3 linked regions of the Pelodiscus sinensis genome follow. The main gene of each other region encodes a partner of the protein of the gene in region 2 in a complex. Links are inferred from orthologs where the notes say so. Each region holds a gene or a part of one and is shown on either strand. Other genes may lie near its edges. The genes, in order: POLR2H, TAF1B and RRN3.

Region 1 (3,744 bases), on a different chromosome or scaffold from region 2:
ACAGCACCACCAATAGCCACAGCTAGCTCAAGCAACCCCCGGCGAATATGGAGGAGCTACAGAACCAGGGCCGCCAAGAACAGATAGGGGCTGCTCAGATACAGCAGTGACGAGGACTGTCTAATTACGGATAAGAGAGTTTAGAAACCAAAAACTCAACAGGACAGATAAAAGTGAAAGATGACAAGGAAAACAGAGAAAATGAACGGCGGCCGACAAGAGAGCAGAGCGCGGGCACAAAAGCAAAAGCGGCAAACGTGCGAGGAGACAGCAGTGCCCACTTGCCGACTGACCACAGTGGGAATCTGCCAGACAAAGGCTGGGAACCAAGGGCTGCTCTGGTTAGCCCCTTCTCCCTGGTGTTTAAAGGCCAACGTGATCAGACAGGGATGCTGACCCAGGGCAGCTCCCCAGCTCCACGCTTTCCCCACTTTCTTTACCCCTCCGTTCACTGACCTCAGCCTGCATGAGACACTACTGAATTCTTGAGCTACTCCCTGCCAGATGCTGCCCCGTTACCTGGACGGCCTGTCATCGGTGGGGTTATACTCCCCATCATCCAGGGTCCCATCTTCATACAAGGTGCTGGCAATAACCAGACGGAATTTGTCACCTGCAATACCCAACAGAGAGCAGGTGAAAGGCACGCTCCCAAGGAGGCCAGCTGGGCACAGGAAGTATGATCCCACACAGGGGCTACGTCGCCACCGGCAGCTTCTGTTCTTGCGCAAAAACTTGCCTGCTGTCTACACTGCACGCGCGTTCTTGCGCAAGTAAATTTACAGTACAGCGTTGTAAAACAGGGCTTCTGCCGGCAGAGTTATTCCGCTCCCCACGAGGAATAAGCCCTCTTGCGCAAGAGCTCTTCCACAAGAGGGCAGTGTAGCCGGGCCACATGAATTTCTTGCACAGGAAGCCCCTATGGTTAAAATGGCCATCAGAGCTTTCTTGCGCAAGACAGCGTCCACACTGCCATGGATGCTCTTGCGCAAAAGCACATGCCAGTGTAGACGCGCTCTTGTGGAAGACTTTTTGTGCAAGAACTCTTCCGCAAAACAGTTCTTGCACAAGAAGCTGCCGGTGTAGACGTAGCCAGGAAGGAACTCCGAAACCAAAGCACACAAGGCATACAGGCTGCATCTTACTGCAACGGTGCTTGATGGCAAAGAGAAGCAAGCCACCTGTGAACTGGCTCCTCGCCCCGATCTGCACAGTCACTCAGGCACACAGTATTCAGGGCTCCCAGCTCCAAGGAAGGGCAATCAGGGCATTCAACAGCACATCCAAGTGCCAGGTGATGCGCTCTGAGTAGCATGATCCCTAGAGGTCATGGAGCTGTCAGGCAGGTGAAGTGCTTCCCCTCACATCACAGCTGCATGTGACCACTGGATCTAATTGAAGGCCTCGTTCCTTCAGAACAGCAGCATGCAGACAGGGGCTTACTGCACTTTAAATCACACAGCCTTTTCCTTAATTAAACTTCATACCCTGGGTAGACAAGCCCATAGTGTTATGGGCACTTCCGCCAGCAGCTGGCTCTAGCTCAGCAGGGGCTGCCTGATACAAGGATTATCTGTTGCCAGCCTGAGGGCCCCCTACTACGTACCCAGGTCCACGGGGTAGATCTGTATGTTCACATCCAGGATTAGGTCCATCTTGAAAGACTCACTTTCACAATGCAGGCGGGAAACTGGGAGAGAAGGAGCAGAACCAGTGACCCGGGACGCAGTTTCGGTTCACGTTCACACCCAGATCTTGGGGGAGGGAGGTTTGGACCTGTTTATTCAAGGGCCTTGCTCCCGACCCAGCCCCAGATCCGTGGGGCGCTATGGGGCCCGGCCCCAGATCCGTGGGGGGGAGGGGGCGCTATGGGGCCCGGCCCCAGATCCGTGGGGGGGAGGGGGCGCTATGGGGCCCGGCCCCAGATCCGTGGGGGGGAGGGGGCGCTATGGGGCCCGGCCCCAGATCCGTGGGGGGGAGGGGGCGCTATGGGGCCCGGCCCCAGATCCGTGGGCGGGAGGGGGCGCTATGGGGCCCGGCCCCAGATCCGTGGGGGGGAGGGGGCGCTATGGGGCCCGGCCCCAGATCCGTGGGGGGGAGGGGGCGCTATGGGGCCCGGCCCCCTGGACCTGGGGGGGGGGGGCGCTGACTCACCCCGGTCGAATTTCTTGCCCTCGGGGTCGATGTCCTTCACGTCGAAGATGTCCTCGAAGAGGATCCCGGCCATGGCGCGCGGCGGGCGCAGGGGCTCGGGGCCGGCGGACCCTCACTTCCGGCCAGGCGCCCGCTAGAGCCCACGCGGCGCCGCCATGTCAGTGCGGGGCGGAAGCACTCCCCCGGCCCGGCTCTACGCCGCGCATGCGCACAGGCTCCCTCCCGTCTGTTGGGCGCTCGCAGCCCCGCCCCGCCCCCTGGTGTCCCGGACGCCTGGGTTCCCTCCCCGGCTGCTCCCAGCACCTGCGGGCAGCGCCTGTCGGGGTGTCCGGGGCCCCGTCCCATAGACCCGCCCCCAATCCCGTCCCCCCGCAAAGCCCGGCCCCCGCGACCCTACACAAACACCCAGGGCGAGGCCCATCCCCGCACTGCCCGTGGGGGGGCTCTCCCGATCTCCCGGGGGGGGGGGGGGACAGGTGATTAGGTGGGGGAGGGGCGCCCATTGGTCCCAGGGCTGGGGGGAGGGGCGCCCTTCAGGCCCCGGGCTGGGCCCCATAACCACCCGCCCCCCCCTTCGGGTACCTGCTGCACGCGGGGCTGCGCTGCGCTCCCAGGCAGGTGCGGCGTCAGCTGCCAGCCCAGCCCCTCCCTCTGCTTGGGCCCTGCTGGGCCAGTGACTCCTCCATCCCCGCCTGCCCTGCCGTCCCGGGGCAGGGAGCGCCCCCGGGGGACGAGAGGAGCCAGGTGTCCCTTGGCCTGGCTGGCTCCCGCCCAGAAACGCTGCCCCTGCGGCCGGGGGGAGGAGCCGGTGCACCGACGGATCCTTGCGGAGGCTGCGTGGGAAGCCGCGGGGCCGGGGCAGGTGGGGGTCCCTAGCCATGTGCACCGGAAGGCTGCCCGGCTAGGCACCTGGGCTCTGCGCAGCAGCGATGGCCCCTGGCGGCAGAGACGCCGCAGCCGGGTTCTGAGTCTTGCAAGGAGCCGCCACCTCCACCGCGGCGGGAGGAACCCGGCAGGATCTATGGAGTATCAGAGGAAGAAGAAACTGACCAATTGCACCATTGGGCTCCTCTTCCTGTCGGGAGGGATCGAGTATGGTGAGCGCTGGGGCCAGGGGTGGAGGCGATACCCTGCCAATAGGGCTGCCAAGCCTCCAGGATTAGCTTGGAGGGAGTCTCCTTTAAGTCAAGATTATGGCCTATGAGGAAATCTCCAGGAATAGGTGACGGGCAAGGTTGCCTGGGCCCTGAGTGTTAGAGCCAACTCCAGAGGCCTCTGCTGTCTTTGGGGCTCCCATGGAGCTGCTGTGCCAATGTCCATGAGTGACACACCCTGGTTTGTGTTCCATGGGGGGGTTATGAATTTTCATATCTGACCCCCATTGCCATAGTGTCAAAGCCTTGTGGATGTTAATCGACCTTCTGGACCGGATCAGTCTCCGTCTCATCATGTCTCAGATGGGAAACGGAGGTGGGGTTAACCAGTTTGCCTGAAGTCAGGCCACAAGTTGATGGCAGAGCTGGGCTCTGATTCTGTGTTGTGTTCTGGCCCCTATATGCTGCAGCTGCGTCCTCCAGTCAGGTACAAGCC
Region 2 (3,744 bases):
CAGATATGGTATCTTTTTCTATAGCTTTGTCTACTAAACTGAGGAGCCCAGAAGCACATTTTTGTTCGCCACAAAAATACTTATAAACTGTGATCAAGTTACCCTTTAATCTTCTCTTTGTTAAACTAAATATATTCGAGATTCTTGGGTCTATCACTGTAATTAATATATGTTTCCAATTCTTTACCTGACCTGTGTTAACTGCTGTACACAGCAACACTATCACAGGGTGAAAACCCATGTAACTTATGCCTAGCATGGTTGTTAATGGTTAACCAGTGAAGGCTGCTTCAGCTCCCAGGGGGCCCACCTGCCCCGTTTAATCGGTTAACTGATTAAACTTAATGCTTAACCACCTAACTAATTAAATGGGATTTTACATCCCTAATGCCTAGAATACTTGACACTACAGGACATTAACAAAACATTAGGAAGGGAAGAGAATATTAGCTGACAGTCAAAAAAAGAAGTGAAGGAAAACTTTAGTAAACTGTACACCAGAAAAAAAAAGTTAGAGAACACAAGGAATGGAAGAAAGCCTGCAAGAATAAAAGGTGACTAGAGACACCCAAGAAAAAGAGATTAATTAAAAAGTAAGGTCTCATTCTGGATCAGCAGTGGGCAATTATTTTTTGCCAGGGGTCACTTCAGAAATTTTTGAAGTGGCCTCAGGCCAAACCGGAAGGCGCGGGGCCTCGAGCAGAAGGAGCGGGGGGGGGGGGGGGGGGGGGAGGAAGAGAGGATGCTTTCCCACCCATAGACCATGATTGGTCCAGGGGGATGGGAGAGCGCCTTTGCCCCCCCTCCCGAAGTTCCCCCTAGGTATCCATGCCCCTCACAGTGAGAGGAGACTTTGCGTGCTCCCTCTTCTGCCCCCAGACCAATCAGGGCTTGGGGGTGCAGGAAGTGTATGAAGTCTCCTGCCACCCTACAAGGAGTTGCGCACTCCTGTCAGGGCGAAGGAAACTTCATATACTCCCCCCTGCCCCCAGGTCCTAATTGGCCTGGGGGTGGGGGAGTGGCAGGGCCTCTGCTGGCTGAATCAACCCACTTGGCAGGCCACATCCAGCCTGCGGAGGTCCTTTTTTCCACCACTGTTATGGAAGGAATGAGGACATGGGAGAGAATCGATGGGAGAAATATTTTTTAATATCGTAAAATTCTGTTTGCAGATTTTAAAATTTCTTAAATCAGCTTAACTTGTTCTGCTAAATCATTAATTACCCATTCAGTTCAGGATCATAGATACCCTCCTCCCCAAAAGTCACTTGCACTGATTTGCCCACAGTGGATCCTTAATCTGTCAGTGTCCTTTCATCTCGCAAAATGCAAAGTTATTTCAATGAACCATAGGCAGAAACCTACCAAATTCACTGTCCATTTTGATCAAGTTTGCCATCATAGGGCTTTAAAAATTGTAAATGTCACATCAGCTATTTAAATCTGAAATTGTACCATGTTGTAATTCTAAAGGGTCTGATCCAAAAAGGAGATGTGTATGTGTGTGTGGGGAAGCAGGGGTTGCAAATGTATTGGGGGAAAAGGAGTAGTACTGTAGTACTGCTACCCTTACTTCTGCACTGCTGCTGGTGGCAACACTGTTTTCAGAGCCTAAGATAGCGGGAGAATGGCAGTTGCTGACCAGGCTCCGAGCTCTGAAAGCAGAGCCACCATCACCAGCAGCGCAGAAGTACGGGTGACATGGCATGGGATTGATGCCTTTTCTTCTGCATGGCTGCTGGTGGGGCACTGCCTCAGCACTGGGCACCCAGGAACAGCTGCTGCTCTCTGGCCACCTGTTACCTACACTCACACCACAATCCCAGCCCAGCCTACCCCATCCTTGTCTGCCCGTTAACAGGGCAAAAACCCCGACCTTCAAAATGGCCCCATTGCTCATACCCGCCCCATTGCCCATCCCATGTCAATCCGCCCTCCCACCACAACCCCCATTGCCGCCCAGACACCACCCGCAGCCCTTCGCCAACCCCCGTTCCCTAACCCCGCCCCCGCGCCCCCGCCCTGCTTCCCGCTCTCTCCCCGCACCGGGCGGCTCCGGGCCGCGTCTCACCGTTTCCTCCTCCTCCATGCCTGCGGCCCGCGCGCCTCAAACCCGCTGCCTCGGGCCTCGCGCTCCGGCGGCAGCGCGCGGGGGAAGAGCAGCCGGCCAGGAACCGGGGCCGCGCGTTTGGGTTCCGGCCGGGTCCTAGGGCCACTCAGCTCCCCAGGGAGCGCCCGCCTCGTGCGCCCCTTCCCCGAGGCAGCGGGCAGGCGGCGCCGATTTGCATCCCCTGGGCTCAGCCTGGATGGGAATCTGCCCCGCGGACTTGACTGAGCCACAGCCCGAGGCGGAAGCTGCTGCATTATTCGCCAGCTGAGGACTGAGCCCGGGACTTGTAGGGCAGAAAGCTGGTGGCCCTGGCTGCTTGAGCTCCCGGAGAAGCACCTCGCTGCTGTCCACCTGTTACAAGACGCACCAGCGGAGCTAGATCCGCCCTCTCCGAATGTGCACCACACTTTTATTTTTTTATTACAGACCTTTGTTTCGGTGATATTTCATATTTGAAACGTAAAGAGTTAAGACTTTACCAAATGCATCAGAAGAACGATTATAGTACAACCTGAAGGAGAAATTTTTCCTAGTCTTTGCCAGTTAGTGATTAGTTTATATCCTGAACCATGACAGTTTATAATCTTCCTTCTATAATGTAACTGTGATGGTTGTCCCTATCCATGTAGATGTATAAATAATATTTTTTTTAAATCCTACTAAGAGCTTGGACTCTGATATATTGTGCTAATGAGTCTCATAGGTTAATTATGCATTATGTAAAAATATTTGTTTATTAGTTTTAAATCAGTTGTTTAATGGTCAAGGGCTCAGTTTTATGTCCTGATACAGGACACTGTTCTGACAAACTTTTTAGTTTTTTTAAATGTCTGAGCAATACCATAAGCTGTTCTAAATCACATGTTTTTGCAGAGCCATCTGATGCAAGGCCAAAGGATTGGTATCTATAGCCACCTAAGAAATGCTTGTCATTATGTTCAAAAGTCCATGTCATAGAGTGGCTGTTACAATTACCACAGAACCATATCAGACAGTGAAAAGTCTTACTGCTCTTACTAATGAGAAATACTAATTATTTCATAGCACCCAAAAATGTACTAAGTGCAAAAGAGAAGCCACAAGCCAGTAATTGTGGCATAAAGATCTTCTCTCTAATCAGGTCACAGAAAGTACCAGCAGCAGCCCAAGCAAGTCCCAGAGATGGGAGGTCAGAACTGATAGGGAGTAAGAAGGAGTTCTTGAGTACTAAAGGGGGAAAGGAGGAAAGATGTTGGGGAGGGCAGAGTTCCTGGAGACCATGAGTGCAAAGAAATTAAGCAGAAATCTGAGCTTTATGGGATGCTCTTGAGGCATAAGAAGGCCTTCCAGAAGCTGAGGATGAAAGGAAAGAGGGAGAATGTGGGCAAGAAATGTGGTTCTTGAGGGATGTAAAATGCTATTTGCTTTTTCCTGGGAAGAAACCCCAGATCCTCCTCCCTTTTAATTTTGTTCCATCTGATCCCTGTTTGTTAGTTAGTTAATTACAATTGCACTCCTGTATACAAGGGTCAGGAAAAGAAGGGCAGAAGTTATAGCAATAAAATTATGTAGATACTTAGCAAGGCTAGATACACAACACGGCGAGCAATGGGGGTTTTGTTGAGGAGATTGGGGGAAGGGTCAGGAGATCACAA
Region 3 (3,744 bases), on a different chromosome or scaffold from region 2:
GAGGTTTTTCCAACATTTGGCCTGTCTAGACTGGACCAAATGTCAGAAAACCCCCTTCTTTTGGAAGCCCCCTTATTCCTCATGGAAAAATTGGGGTGACCTAACGAGCATGTTTGCTCTTCCACTAAAAAAAGCGGAAGAACAAATGCATCCCTGGATGCAGAAGAGTTTTTCTGGGATCTCTCCAGAATCCTGAAAAACTCCTGCAGTCTAGCCATACCCTCACTGGGTTGGGACAGGATGTGTAGGCTCTGGGGTGGGAATAAGGGATTTGGCTGCGGGAAGGAGTGAGAGATGCAAGCTCTGGGAGGAAATCTGGATGGAGGAGGATGTGGAAAAGGGGACGCTGTCTCGGGGAGAGGCTCCAGGCCAGGCAGTGTTGGAGTCAGATGTAAGGTTAGGGTACTAAGCAAGCCACAGGCTTGTGGATGTGAGGGTTCAGGAATTTGGGTTGGGGTATGTGAGGGGCTCAGGGCAGGGGGTTCCAGTGTATGACAGGCTCAGATCTAGGGTCTGGGGGAAGGGGGCATGCAGAAGCATTATGATGCTGTGGCCAGATGGGGGCTTGGCCCCAACAGGGGGTTTGTTGACCAGGCTTCATTTTTAAATAAAATACTATGTCAAACACAAAAAGTTTCTGCATTGTCTTTATTTATGAGAAGAGCAGGGAACCTGTTTCGAGTCAGGGGTCACTGATCCAAAGAAAAGTCAGTTGGGGCCACACAAGTGAAATGAAAACACACACACACCCACCCCTCCTCCAAAACCCCCACAAGCCTCACTAATGTGGCCCCAACTGTTCTGGTGGGAGCAGGGGACATGGTACTGAGGAAGGGTGATAGTGGGTTCTGCAGCGGGGGGCAGGGGAGAGAGAACAGGGTGCCAGGAAATCGGGGGACAGGTTTCTGCAGCAGGGGACAGGGTGCTAGTGGAGACAGAGAGTCCCCTGAACCCCCCTTCTCCCAGGATTCCCCTCCCCCTCCAAAAGGAGGGAAGTCCTGTCGCATGCCTCCTCTGGGCCCGATTCCCCCCTCCCGCAGAGCAGGGAAGCCCACGCATGCGCCCCCTCGGGGCCAATCCTCCCCACCCACTGAGAAAGGAAGCCCTGTCGCATGTCTCCACCGGGGCCGAGCAGGGAAGCCCATGCACGTGCCTCCTCAGGGTAACCCCCCCTCCCGCAGATGAAGGAAGCCCCACTGTGCACCTCCGCCATGAGCCTCCCGCAGAGCAGGGAAGCCCCCATCAAGCACCCCCTCCAGGCCCGACTCCCCCCTCCCACAGAGAAGGGAAGTCCCAGCGTGCGCCTCTGGAGATTCACCGGGTAAGTTCCTGGCACACCACAGACTTGGGGCAAGGAAGCAGCCAGTGCTTTTCCGGAACCCCCAGAAGTGACGCACAACTGCAGGACTTCTGTCCAGCCTGCAGGAAACTGCCACTACCTCCATTGTCTCTCGAGGTAGGTAATGAGGCTTTTTGGGGTGGGGAGATATGGGGGGCCCGTAACGCCTCATGATCAACTGGTTGATGACCACAGAACTATACACTACAGATAAGTACAGTGGGGATTGAAGCTCAAAGCTATGTTAATCAAGGGGCAGGAGCTCCATACAGCCCTCCGTTTCCCCCTTTCCATTTTCTGATTTGCCCCAAAATCAACAGGGTTCCAGCCACTACTGAGCCCTAGAACATTCACTGAAATTTTGGAATTCACTGGATGTGACATTCACAAGCTATCACATCACAGACAGATAAGGTTGAGTTGAATGCAAGGCATTCACAGGTTTGCCCAAATACCCAAATGAGAAAGAAGAGTTGGAAGAACCCCTCTGAAATCAAGAGACATGTACTAGTGTAACACCTACAGGTGGAACCAAACCTGGGACTTTTGAGCTCAGTGCATGAGCCTCTACACAGCTTGAGCTAAAAACCAGCTGGCTCTCAGCTGAGGTTGTATAGTACCCTCATTCTTTCTCTCTGTAAGTAGTCTACCTGCCACTAGGACACACCACCTTGAGTAAGCGTGTGGATTACACTGGCATCAGAGAGAGCTTGACTCCACCTGCTTAAAATGAATACACTGGCATAAACACCTAAATACGCTGAGAAACAGTCTGTAAAGAGTAAGTAAGTTCAAAGTAAACAAGCGTCACCTCTTGGTATTTCTGTAAGACATCTGTCAACGTCCCACCGAACCTGACGGTTTTTCTCGGGGGCGAACTGATGAACTCATCTCCTCCCAACATGTTAAGCGCCTACAGGGCAAGACACAGATTAGCACAGCACGGAGGCACCTCGGCAGCTGGGCTGCGACATTTCTTGCATCGCTCCCGCCTGTCAGGCAGGTCACACGGCGGCAAAGCAGCCGAAGGACGCGTCGGGGAGACGAGAACGCCTCACGCGCGTTTCCACAGCGGGAAACCACGACCCGCCCCCCCTCGCGCCCCCCGCTGTTCTGCACAGACACAGCCCAAGCGGGGCAGGGAGAGGAACAGGGGCAGAAACGCTTCTTCCGGCCCGCTCCCCTGCGCCTCACCTCCGCCGGCCGCCCCACGCAGACTCCGGGCAGAGGCTTGCGGGAGAAACTCCGCAGCGCTCCCCGCCGGGGGTGGGGGAGGTGTCTCAATTAGCCGTTGAGCAGACACCACGCGCCGCCCTCTGCTCGCGCCGCGGGGCCGGCCACCTCCATGCTGCCTTGGGACGGGAAAGGACTGGGCGGCCTCCCGGAAGTGAAAACGAGGCCTCCGCACCCATAGAGAGGCTCGCGCGCCGGCAGGAACGGAGCTCTGCTCTAGCTCTGCTCTCGCTGCTCCTGGAGGACTGGCGCGAGGAGCCGGGCGTGTGCAGTGGGGGGCGCCCGGCCTCTGTCGCGCCGGGCAGCGCCGAACACCTGCGGCCCGGCTCGAGGGCTTCCTCCGCTGCGAGGGTAGTAGCGGCAACGTCACCCAGCCCAGGGGATCTCAGCCGGGGGAGGGGCGGTTCCGGAGCTCCGGCTCTCTAGGCTCCCTCCCGCCCTCGTCCTTTCCGCCTTCCCTGGGCTCCGCGTTCCCTGGGCTGCCGGCGGCTCGGACACAACCAGCCTAAGTTCTCCCGAAGTAGCCCGCGGCCCCGGGAGCACCAGCGGCGCTGGGCAAGGCTTCATCTTGGCGGGGCTCCACGGCGAGCGCTCAGGGTGTAGGGGCGATGGGGGTGCCAGAGCAGCGGCTGAATCAGGACGCCTGGGGCAGAGCAGCTCAGGACCAACCCAGCAGCGCCCCAGCTGCTCTGCCCCAGGCGTCCCCAAGTCAGCCGCTGCTGAAACTGACCAGTGCTGACTACAGGAAACCCCTGCCCTGGGCTTCCTGGAATCAGCCTCTGATCAGTTTCAGCAGCAGCTGACTTGGGGACGCCTGAGGTTCTTAAGTTGAATCTGTATGTAAGTCAGAACTGGCATCCAGATTCAGCTGCTGTTGAAAATGATCAGTTTCAGCAGCGGCTGAATCTGGACGCCAGTTCCGACTTACATACAGATTCAACTTAAGAACAAACCTACATCCCTATCTTGTATGTAACCCAGGGACTGCCTGTAGTCTCTTGAGGAAGATGAGACCAGTACCTGCCTCCACTCCCTGCCTTCTGCCTCACTTAAGTCAAACTAGGCTAGATTCACAAAGTGGCAGCTAAGATAGGGGTTTGTAAACACCAGTGCTGCCTGATTCTAGAATTTAGGTGCCTAAAGTGGCAGGTAAGTGCCTAAGTCCCATATGG

Evidence for each region.
Region 1: TAF1B (region 2) and POLR2H share a complex: the UniProt entries of both Homo sapiens proteins name them as parts of the pol I pre-initiation complex. The link is inferred for Pelodiscus sinensis from reciprocal best matches to the Homo sapiens genes TAF1B and POLR2H.
Region 3: TAF1B (region 2) and RRN3 share a complex: the UniProt entries of both Homo sapiens proteins name them as parts of the pol I pre-initiation complex. The link is inferred for Pelodiscus sinensis from reciprocal best matches to the Homo sapiens genes TAF1B and RRN3.

The regions. Positions count from the first base shown.
Region 1 is NC_134720.1:48,355,330-48,359,073, reverse strand, and holds the start of POLR2H (DNA-directed RNA polymerases I, II, and III subunit RPABC3), read right to left. Parts: upstream 2,368-3,744; 5' UTR 2,228-2,367; coding exon 2,155-2,227; intron 1,691-2,154; coding exon 1,607-1,690; intron 614-1,606; coding exon 520-613; intron 1-519. Other genes in the region: major facilitator superfamily domain-containing protein 8-like, read left to right, coding at 3,176-3,251. UniProt on the Homo sapiens protein: DNA-dependent RNA polymerase catalyzes the transcription of DNA into RNA using the four ribonucleoside triphosphates as substrates.
Region 2 is NC_134713.1:27,654,846-27,658,589, forward strand, and holds the start of TAF1B (TATA box-binding protein-associated factor RNA polymerase I subunit B), read right to left. Parts: upstream 2,546-3,744; 5' UTR 2,090-2,545; coding exon 2,072-2,089; intron 1-2,071. UniProt on the Homo sapiens protein: Component of RNA polymerase I core factor complex that acts as a GTF2B/TFIIB-like factor and plays a key role in multiple steps during transcription initiation such as pre-initiation complex (PIC) assembly and postpolymerase recruitment events in polymerase I (Pol I) transcription.
Region 3 is NC_134726.1:17,932,802-17,936,545, reverse strand, and holds the start of RRN3 (RNA polymerase I-specific transcription initiation factor RRN3), read right to left. Parts: upstream 2,728-3,744; 5' UTR 2,534-2,727; intron 2,253-2,533; 5' UTR 2,244-2,252; coding exon 2,151-2,243; intron 1-2,150. UniProt on the Homo sapiens protein: Required for efficient transcription initiation by RNA polymerase I (Pol I). Required for the formation of the competent pre-initiation complex (PIC).